2 linked regions of the Kluyveromyces lactis genome follow. Each later gene encodes a partner of the first gene's protein in a complex. Links are inferred from orthologs where the notes say so. Each region holds a gene or a part of one and is shown in the gene's direction. Other genes may lie near its edges.

Region 1 (4,026 bases):
CGACGATGATAATTCATCAATTGATATCAAACTATTGAACAACCTTCAAGTATTTGATCCCACATGTCTAATAACGTCTCTCCAGTTTTCTCCATTGCTGGATAATCTCGTACTTTTAACCACTACTAATGGGGATTTTGCTACTGTTGATATCATACATGGTGAAATATGCTTTATAGAGGAGGTGGAGCCATCGTATTTCGACTCCTCAACAATAAATTATATTGAGGTGCCAAATGCAGACATCAAAGTTATAAATGTTCAGAATGACCATGAACAAATCTTTCATTTCAAACATTCTTTGGAGTGCTGGACCGGCGAGTTCGGCTGTTTGGCTCCTTTGAAAGATGTTGTATTCACTGGTGGTGACGACTCTGCAATTGCAGCTCATGATTTGAATTCAGGCAAAAAGATCTGGTCCAATTCAAAAATTCATCAAGCTGGTGTTACGGCAATTAAGGCTGCTAGGGAGACATTTAGAGGCAACAAGCCAACAAGTTTAATCACAGGCTCTTATGATGACCATATACGATCCTTTGATCTAAGAATGCTCTCAGAAACCACAATATATCCAGGGACAGACGTCCCTGTGGTTAATAAATGGGAAGACAATTTACAGGGTGGTGTTTGGAGATTCTCGGAGGCCCCAACGAATGACGGACTGTCAAATAACAGACTTATGGTTTGTTGCATGTATAATGGTGCGAAGGTTGTCAACGTCCAAAACGATCATTTCGTGACCGAGCAGTTTATAAAAGAAGGGCATGAATCAATGTGTTACGGTGGTGATTGGAGTAAAGAAACAGTTGCAACTTGTTCTTTTTATGACAAGTCCCTACAACTTTGGAAAAGTCCAAATTAATACACATATAGTTTTAAAAGGAACGAAAAAAGCAGACGGAATTGAGACATAATTGATGTGTTCTCACTTCGCTGTTTCGATGAGCTTCAGTATGTATTCTTTTTTAAATATAGGACCATTTGTTTCATCTTATTAACGCACGTGACTTCAAGTATCTTCATCCTGCAACACCAAAACACGAAAGTTTTGGAAAAACTGGGTAAGTAATCCTTTGATCTAAAATTTAATTACTTCAGTTAATATAAAGAAAAAGACTTCAAAGATTGGTATTTTGATGAAGTAGTAGGAGCTTCATAATTTCTGATATCTGAAGCAGCAAATTTGTTTCACTGGTTCTCACGTCATTAAAGATGGATTCACCTGAGTATTTGGAGAAATTAAAACCCTTTCAAGAGGGAATTCCCAACAGCATTGCTGAGAAGAAAGAAAGATACTTGCTACCACTGCGTGATTTGGCATCAGGGAAGCGCAAATTTGATGAACAGGGAACAGTAAAGAGATTCGAACATTTGCTTGGGTTATCTACTTTATTCAGACATTTCATTGAAAGGAAAGCTGCCAAGGATCCTAGATTTAGAGAGGTATTGGACACTATTGATAATGTCAACGGCAAAGCAAATGGTAAGGGAAAGAAACATACAGATGCCCGCAGACGTAAGACTGAAAAGGAAGAGGATGCTGAACTTATGAAAGATGAAGAAGAAGAGGAAGAGGAGCTTGCTGATGTCGATTTCCAATTCAGAGAAAGTCCAGCTTATGTTAACGGACAGTTAAGACCATACCAAATCCAAGGTTTGAACTGGCTAGTAGCGTTGCACAAAAATCAACTAGCTGGTATTCTAGCAGATGAAATGGGGTTGGGTAAAACGTTACAAACCATTGCATTTTTGGGTTATCTAAGATATATTGAAAAGAAGAATGGCCCCTTCCTTGTGATAGCTCCTAAATCGACTTTAAACAACTGGCTCAGGGAAATTAATAGATGGACTCCAGAGGTAAGCGCCTTCATTCTTCAAGGTGATAAAGAGGAAAGATCTAAGCTATGTCACGATAAGCTTTTAGCATGCGATTTCGATATCTGTGTTGCATCCTATGAGATTATCATTAGAGAAAAAGCCTCCTTTAAAAAAATTGACTGGGAGTATGTTGTTATTGATGAAGCTCATAGAATTAAGAATGAAGAATCCATGCTATCCCAGGTTCTTAGAGAATTTTCCTCTCGTAACAGGTTACTTATCACTGGTACTCCGCTACAAAATAATCTTCATGAGCTTTGGGCTTTATTGAATTTCTTATTGCCTGATATTTTTGCTGACTCGGCAACCTTTGATGAATGGTTCTCTAGCGAATCATCTGAAGAGGATAAAGAAAAAGTGGTCAAACAATTGCACACTGTGCTCAGTCCCTTTTTGCTACGTCGTATCAAGAACGACGTCGAAGGTTCATTACTACCTAAAAAGGAATTGAACGTCTATGTTGGTATGTCTTCAATGCAAAAAAAGTGGTATAAACAGATTCTCGAAAAAGATATAGATGCAGTTAATGGTTCAAACGGTCAAAAGGAATCAAAAACCCGTTTGTTGAATATTGTCATGCAATTGAGAAAATGTTGCAATCATCCATACTTATTCGATGGTGCAGAACCAGGTCCTCCATACACTACTGACGAGCATTTAGTATACAATTCAGCCAAATTGAAAGTGTTGGATAAATTACTAAAAAAATTCAAGGAACAAGGCAGTCGTGTCCTAATTTTCTCTCAGATGTCTCGTGTGCTCGATATCTTGGAGGATTACTGCTATTTCCGTGAGTACGAGTACTGTAGAATCGATGGTTCTACTGCACACGAAGATAGAATCAACGCTATTGATGACTATAATGCACCAGATTCTAAGAAGTTCATATTTCTTCTAACTACTCGTGCTGGTGGGTTGGGTATCAACTTAACTACTGCAGATATTGTTGTTTTATACGATTCTGACTGGAATCCTCAAGCAGATTTGCAAGCAATGGATCGTGCGCACAGAATTGGCCAAAAAAAGCAAGTGCGGGTATTCAGATTTGTCACTGACAATAGTGTGGAAGAGAAGATTTTGGAAAGAGCTACACAGAAACTAAAATTGGATCAGTTAGTCATCCAACAAGGGCGAGTCACTAACAAGAAGAAGGAGAATAAAAATGACTCCAAAGAGGGATTACTTTCTATGATTCAGCATGGTGCTGTTGATGTCTTCAAGAGCAATGACAGTAGTGCCATGACCAGTCAAACTGGAACACCACATCCAGATGATGGGAAGGACAAGGATGAAGATGTGGATTTGGATGCCTTGCTAGCACAATCTGAAGATAAGACCAGGAGTTTGAACGCCAAGTATGCAACTTTGGGTTTGGATGAACTTCAACGATTCAACCAAGATTCTGCATATGAATGGGATGGTCAAAATTTTAAAAAGAAGGTTGAAAAGGATATCATTAACCCACTATTTATCCCACCTACGAAACGTGAACGTTCAACGAATGCTAACTATTCTGTTGATAATTATTACAAAGACGTGTTAAACCCTGGACGTAACAATCAATATACGGTTCCACCAAAGATGCCAAAATTACAACCTCTAAATAGCCACCAATTATTAAGACCACAATTAAAGGCTATTTACGAAAAGGAAAGAATGTGGATTGCAAAGAAAAACAATTATGTTCCCAACCTTGATGACGTTGTAACAACTTATGGTGACGTGAAAGATGAAGCAGAAAAGAAAGATAAACTAGAACTTCTAAAGCTATCGATTGCCAATGCAGAACCATTGACAGAAGAGGAAACTAATAATAAAATTGAATGGGAGAAAGAAGGCTTCCATAACTGGAATAAGTTGGATTTCCGTAAGTTCATTACTGCATCAGGTAAACATGGTCGTAATTCTATTCAAGCCATTGCTGCTGAATTCGGTGGTAGCAAGACAGAAGAAGAAGTGAGGGCTTATGCTAAAGCATTCTGGGCCAATCTTGAAAGAGTGGAAGACTATGAAAGATACGTGAAGAATATTGAGACGGAAGAAGAAAGAGTGAGACGAGTAAAGATGAATCAAGAAGCTCTACGTAGAAAGATCAGCCAATGCGCAAACCCACTATTTGAACTCAAGTTGAAGTTCCCACCATCTACA
Region 2 (4,298 bases), about 1.5 Mb from region 1:
TCATGCAGGATACAAAATAGTAAAACCCTTTGGCTTCTGCCTTGGTTGTTGGTTTTCTCTCCAAATAACTCGTTGGAATTGCCAATTGCTGTTGGAATCTACCAGGCGTAGTGAACATCCGTCTGGGCTTCCGTTTCTTTGGTATCTTATTTCCTGTCGAGTTTGTTCGGCTGATAGCATTGCTCAGAGCAACACTTTTATCATCATTTCCTGTGTAGTCTAAAGCATTCAGGCTTTCATTATTCGAATGGATAATTGTCGGTTCTGTGGCAGCACTATGTAAAGTGTTCAACTCTGGTCGAGCCGTCATCCTTGCGTATCGAAGGGTATGTTTTGTGTTTGCCTCAGAAGTTCACACCGATGGATCTTCTTTACTCCGTTATATATTTGCTTCTCATCAAGATGGCTGATAGTGAGGCTGCAACTTTTTTTTCACTCTTTGCATTTATGTACAAGAACTTTAATTATTTCTGCCGAAATATGCAGTGATGAGATGAGACGAGGATGTGCATATAAGCTTCGATATATTTTTTAGAGTTATTCAGGCTAATAGATGTGTGCGGTTGAGCTTTTTTGTAAGGGTTGGCAAAGCTAACTATCGTTATAGCTTGGTACCCGGTAACTTTTAGAATGTCCTATCCGGTAACTTTCGGCTCTTAGAAAGAATTTTGACCATACAGGGACCTTCTTCCATACAGCAAAGAATGTTCTACTTATTTCTATCGCTAGATGAAAATTCCAGTCATTCAATATGAAAGTAAGAATGTTCAGTGCAGGTTTCAAGTTACTAGGACTGCCAGCTTCTCCTATTTTTCGCCCTTTCACGTCATTCCCAGTTCGCTCTTGGAAATTAAAAGAAAGTACTGAAACATAATGTCTATTCCCCTTCACAATCACTTCCTCTGTATATAATCGCATCTTATCCCTTGAATATTATGTATAAACGCTACGGTATTCACGCTGCCAATACCTTTCACTACGTTTAGTTTGTTCCTGGTAAAACCATTGGCATCCAGTCTAACAATTTGTGCACGTGACCTTGGAATTTGGTTTTTTTTCCCTTCGATGGCCTGGGAACCTGCCGCCTAATTGGCAGAATAACGCGTCGACCTACTTTACTTTCCAACGAAAGAATCGATTTGATAGAAATCATGAAAGGAACAAAAAGTTTTTACAACGAGGACCAGGTTTGTTTAAATAAACGACTTTCTGCAATTTAAAGATCAAGCAGTGAGTCTAATTCACCAGACCTGTAACTTCTCCTATTCGATAGTCAGTGCTCGATACAGCAGAACTTAAAGACTGGTTGTCTTTGTTTTAAGTCCATTTAGACTAGTAATACCAGCTGAAGAAAGGATTTGATCATTCCAGTTTTTGTTTGCTAATCAATTTAACAATTACATTATTCGGTATTAATCCACAGGAAGGTAGTAAAAGATACTTTACACGTTTGATAAGTCTTTTACCATTCGTGCAATGGAAACTCAGAATAAGGAAGAAATGATCGAGGTAGTTCCCGAGGAACATCCCGTGGCGAAGAAATACGGGCAAACCTCTATCACAGACTTTAAGAATTTTGCCGTTCAGCTATCAGAATCAAATACAGACACTTCTCCATTGAATGAACCTATATCGAGAAGAAGATCAAATAGAGTGCTAGTCAAGAGAAAAGTGGAAAGCGATGAAGAACCAGAACACTCCAGAAAGAAAAGGCCTTATAATAGGAAAGTGGTCGCTAAGACGAAGAAGGGAAAGAAGAATGATAGGCCATCCAATACCAATAAGGCTAAGCCGAAGAAAAGTGATAAGGACAATGATAAGGATAAGGAAAAGGCAAAGAATGCCCAAAAAAAGTCTGCCATCAATGCCAACAGTGATAAAAAAAATAGCACAACAAGTAAAAAGGCTAATATGAAAAGCAAAAGCGATGTTGAAACCAATGGCAAACCGAAAGAAAGTGTTGCTAGCATGATCTCTAAGAAACAAACCGCTGACGATTTGAAGAAAAAGGATTCTCCCAAACCCTCCGGTGATTTAGAAAGTCGATCGGATGGAAAAACATCGAAGCCAGTTCTACCTAAGGATGCGATCAAGCTTTCTAAATCTGCATCAAAACCAGCACCTTCGTTAAGTTTAGCTGTTAACCCAATTCTCCTCGAAAATTGGGCACCACAATTACCAGTCCTATCTACTGACTTCAAGACCCAAACATCTGTTTTTTCGAGATTGAAGTTCCCTCATATGAGGAAAGCACCATATGCAAAGGATCTGGTCTTTGTCATGTCATTCATCAACAAATTTCATAAATTTTTGCCTCAGGAACTATGGTCTTTATCTATTCAAGACCTCGAAATTGGCCTTGATATTTACCCAGAAAATATAGACGACGAACAGGATCTTCCTCAGTATTATGCAGATTATATTCCAGCAAGGGAAATTAGACGCTGCCAGGATTACTCAAATTTACTTTATGTTGTATTAATGGAGCTGACTTTGAATCGCAAATCGCATAGCACATTGCAATCCCTGCAGACTTCATCCAAAGCATTCAAACTAATATCTGAATTGAGACATAAAGGGGTGGAATTTGGATATCCTAGAGAATGGAAGGTCCAGTCAACTTTAAATGCGGAACGCACTAAATTGTTTGAACACGATGACACTGAAGCTGTTGATCCTAATCATCCTGAGATCTTAACCCCAAACATTTACAAGTGGACTGAGCAATTGATCGTGCCCTTGGAAGAAGACCCATTACATAATCCAGATTTGGAACGACTTGGTCTTTTGGGACTAATGCCATCTGACAGGGTCGTATTTTTAAGGACATTGACGCAGTGGTGTATTTCATATTCAGAGAAGATACACACAGAGATATACCGTTTATCGCATCTAAAGAAAGACCCCTCTTTTGGTATTCAAACCTTCCACGCTCCAAGACATCTTGTTCAGGGCATAGATGCTGCTCATCAACATTTCAAGAAGCTATGTACTTTGGTAAAGGAAAGAATGGAATTGCGTAGATCCAAAAAGCATGTCAAAAAACAACTTGAAAGTGGTACCCGTCAAGATTTATCTGCAAAGTTCGCTTTACTGGATGAACTCAAAAAAAATATGAGAGAGTATAGACAAGAGTACAACCAAGTCACAACAGATAAGAAAAAGAAGTTTGACGCGTTAGCAGTAAGCGTGGAACGGGACTATTCGAAATGGTCTAAATTGGTCTTCGAAGAAATTCATGATCGGGAACCTTTGGATGACCCCTATGAAGATGAAATATACAAATTAAGATGTCTCGAATTCTTTATTGGAAGAATTCCCTACGTTGGAGATTTTTACTTGCCAAGGTTGTTTACTTATCAATCTTCAAAAGCTAAAAAGCATATTCCGACTAATTATTGTGATCCCATAACATTGTTGAAGACATTACAACAGTTTGAAAATGGAACAATTACACCCTTCGAACTATTCAGTAGGGATGGTAAGTTGAACAGTATGCAGTTTAAATTGTATTATCATGACACCCCTGGGTTGGTTCACGATTTGATGAATGGTACCAATACCGGAAAAGTTTACTGGTATGAAATGTGCCATAACAGTTCTTCATTGCAAGATTTCATCAAACTATTGGAGTATAAAGTGTTCAAGGAGGAAGAACCAAACAAAAATAAAAAGACAGTCGACGATTCGAAGGAAGCAAATCAAAAGGACACGGTAAACGCTTCAGACATAGGCTCAGATAAAGAAGAACCATCGAATGGCCTGCCTTCGGCCGGTTTGTTGAAGAAGGACACAACAATCACTAAATTAGATACAGTAGAGGGATTTAACTGCAATCCATTACCAAAAGAATACAAATACAACAAATCAAGATCAAAATTCTTGATATTGAAGGAATACTTGCAGAAAATGTCATCACTACTACAAACCTTTGAGCAACTAAAGGTTGAGTATGGTGATATCTCAACGACGGACCGGAACTTGAGAAGATCTCAAAGGACTAAAATTAACTATACTGAAGCTCCACAGGAACCCTCTGACGATGATGAAGAGGTTGTTGCGAATGTTGAAGAAGAGGAAGATCAACCTGAGGAGGAAATGGATGAAGAGCCTGAAATTTTCTCTGAGCACGAAGATCACAGGAATGACTATGAAGATCATTCAGATAATGATGAGGAGATTGAAGAAGAATATCAATTGGATTCCGAAGACAACGAAGACGTTCCTAAGAAACGTGGGAGGCCTTTGAAGAAAAACTCAAAGAATGCCGTAACACACAAAAAGCGAAAGCTCAAATA

What was found.
Region 2: ISW1 (region 1) and IOC3 share a complex: the UniProt entries of both Saccharomyces cerevisiae proteins name them as parts of the ISW1A complex. The link is inferred for Kluyveromyces lactis from reciprocal best matches to the Saccharomyces cerevisiae genes ISW1 and IOC3.

The regions. Positions count from the first base shown.
Region 1 is NC_006042.1:644,438-648,463, forward strand, and holds the start of ISW1 (chromatin-remodeling ATPase ISW1), read left to right. Parts: upstream 1-1,212; coding exon 1,213-4,026. Other genes in the region: RRT2 (diphthamide synthase), read left to right, coding at 1-862. UniProt on the Saccharomyces cerevisiae protein: Catalytic component of ISW1-type complexes, which act by remodeling the chromatin by catalyzing an ATP-dependent alteration in the structure of nucleosomal DNA. They are involved in coordinating transcriptional repression, activation and elongation phases.
Region 2 is NC_006042.1:2,159,246-2,163,543, reverse strand, and holds the start of IOC3 (Ioc3p), read left to right. Parts: upstream 1-1,476; coding exon 1,477-4,298. Other genes in the region: KLLA0_F23221g (uncharacterized protein), read right to left, coding at 1-310. UniProt on the Saccharomyces cerevisiae protein: Functions as a component of the ISW1A complex, which acts in remodeling the chromatin by catalyzing an ATP-dependent alteration in the structure of nucleosomal DNA.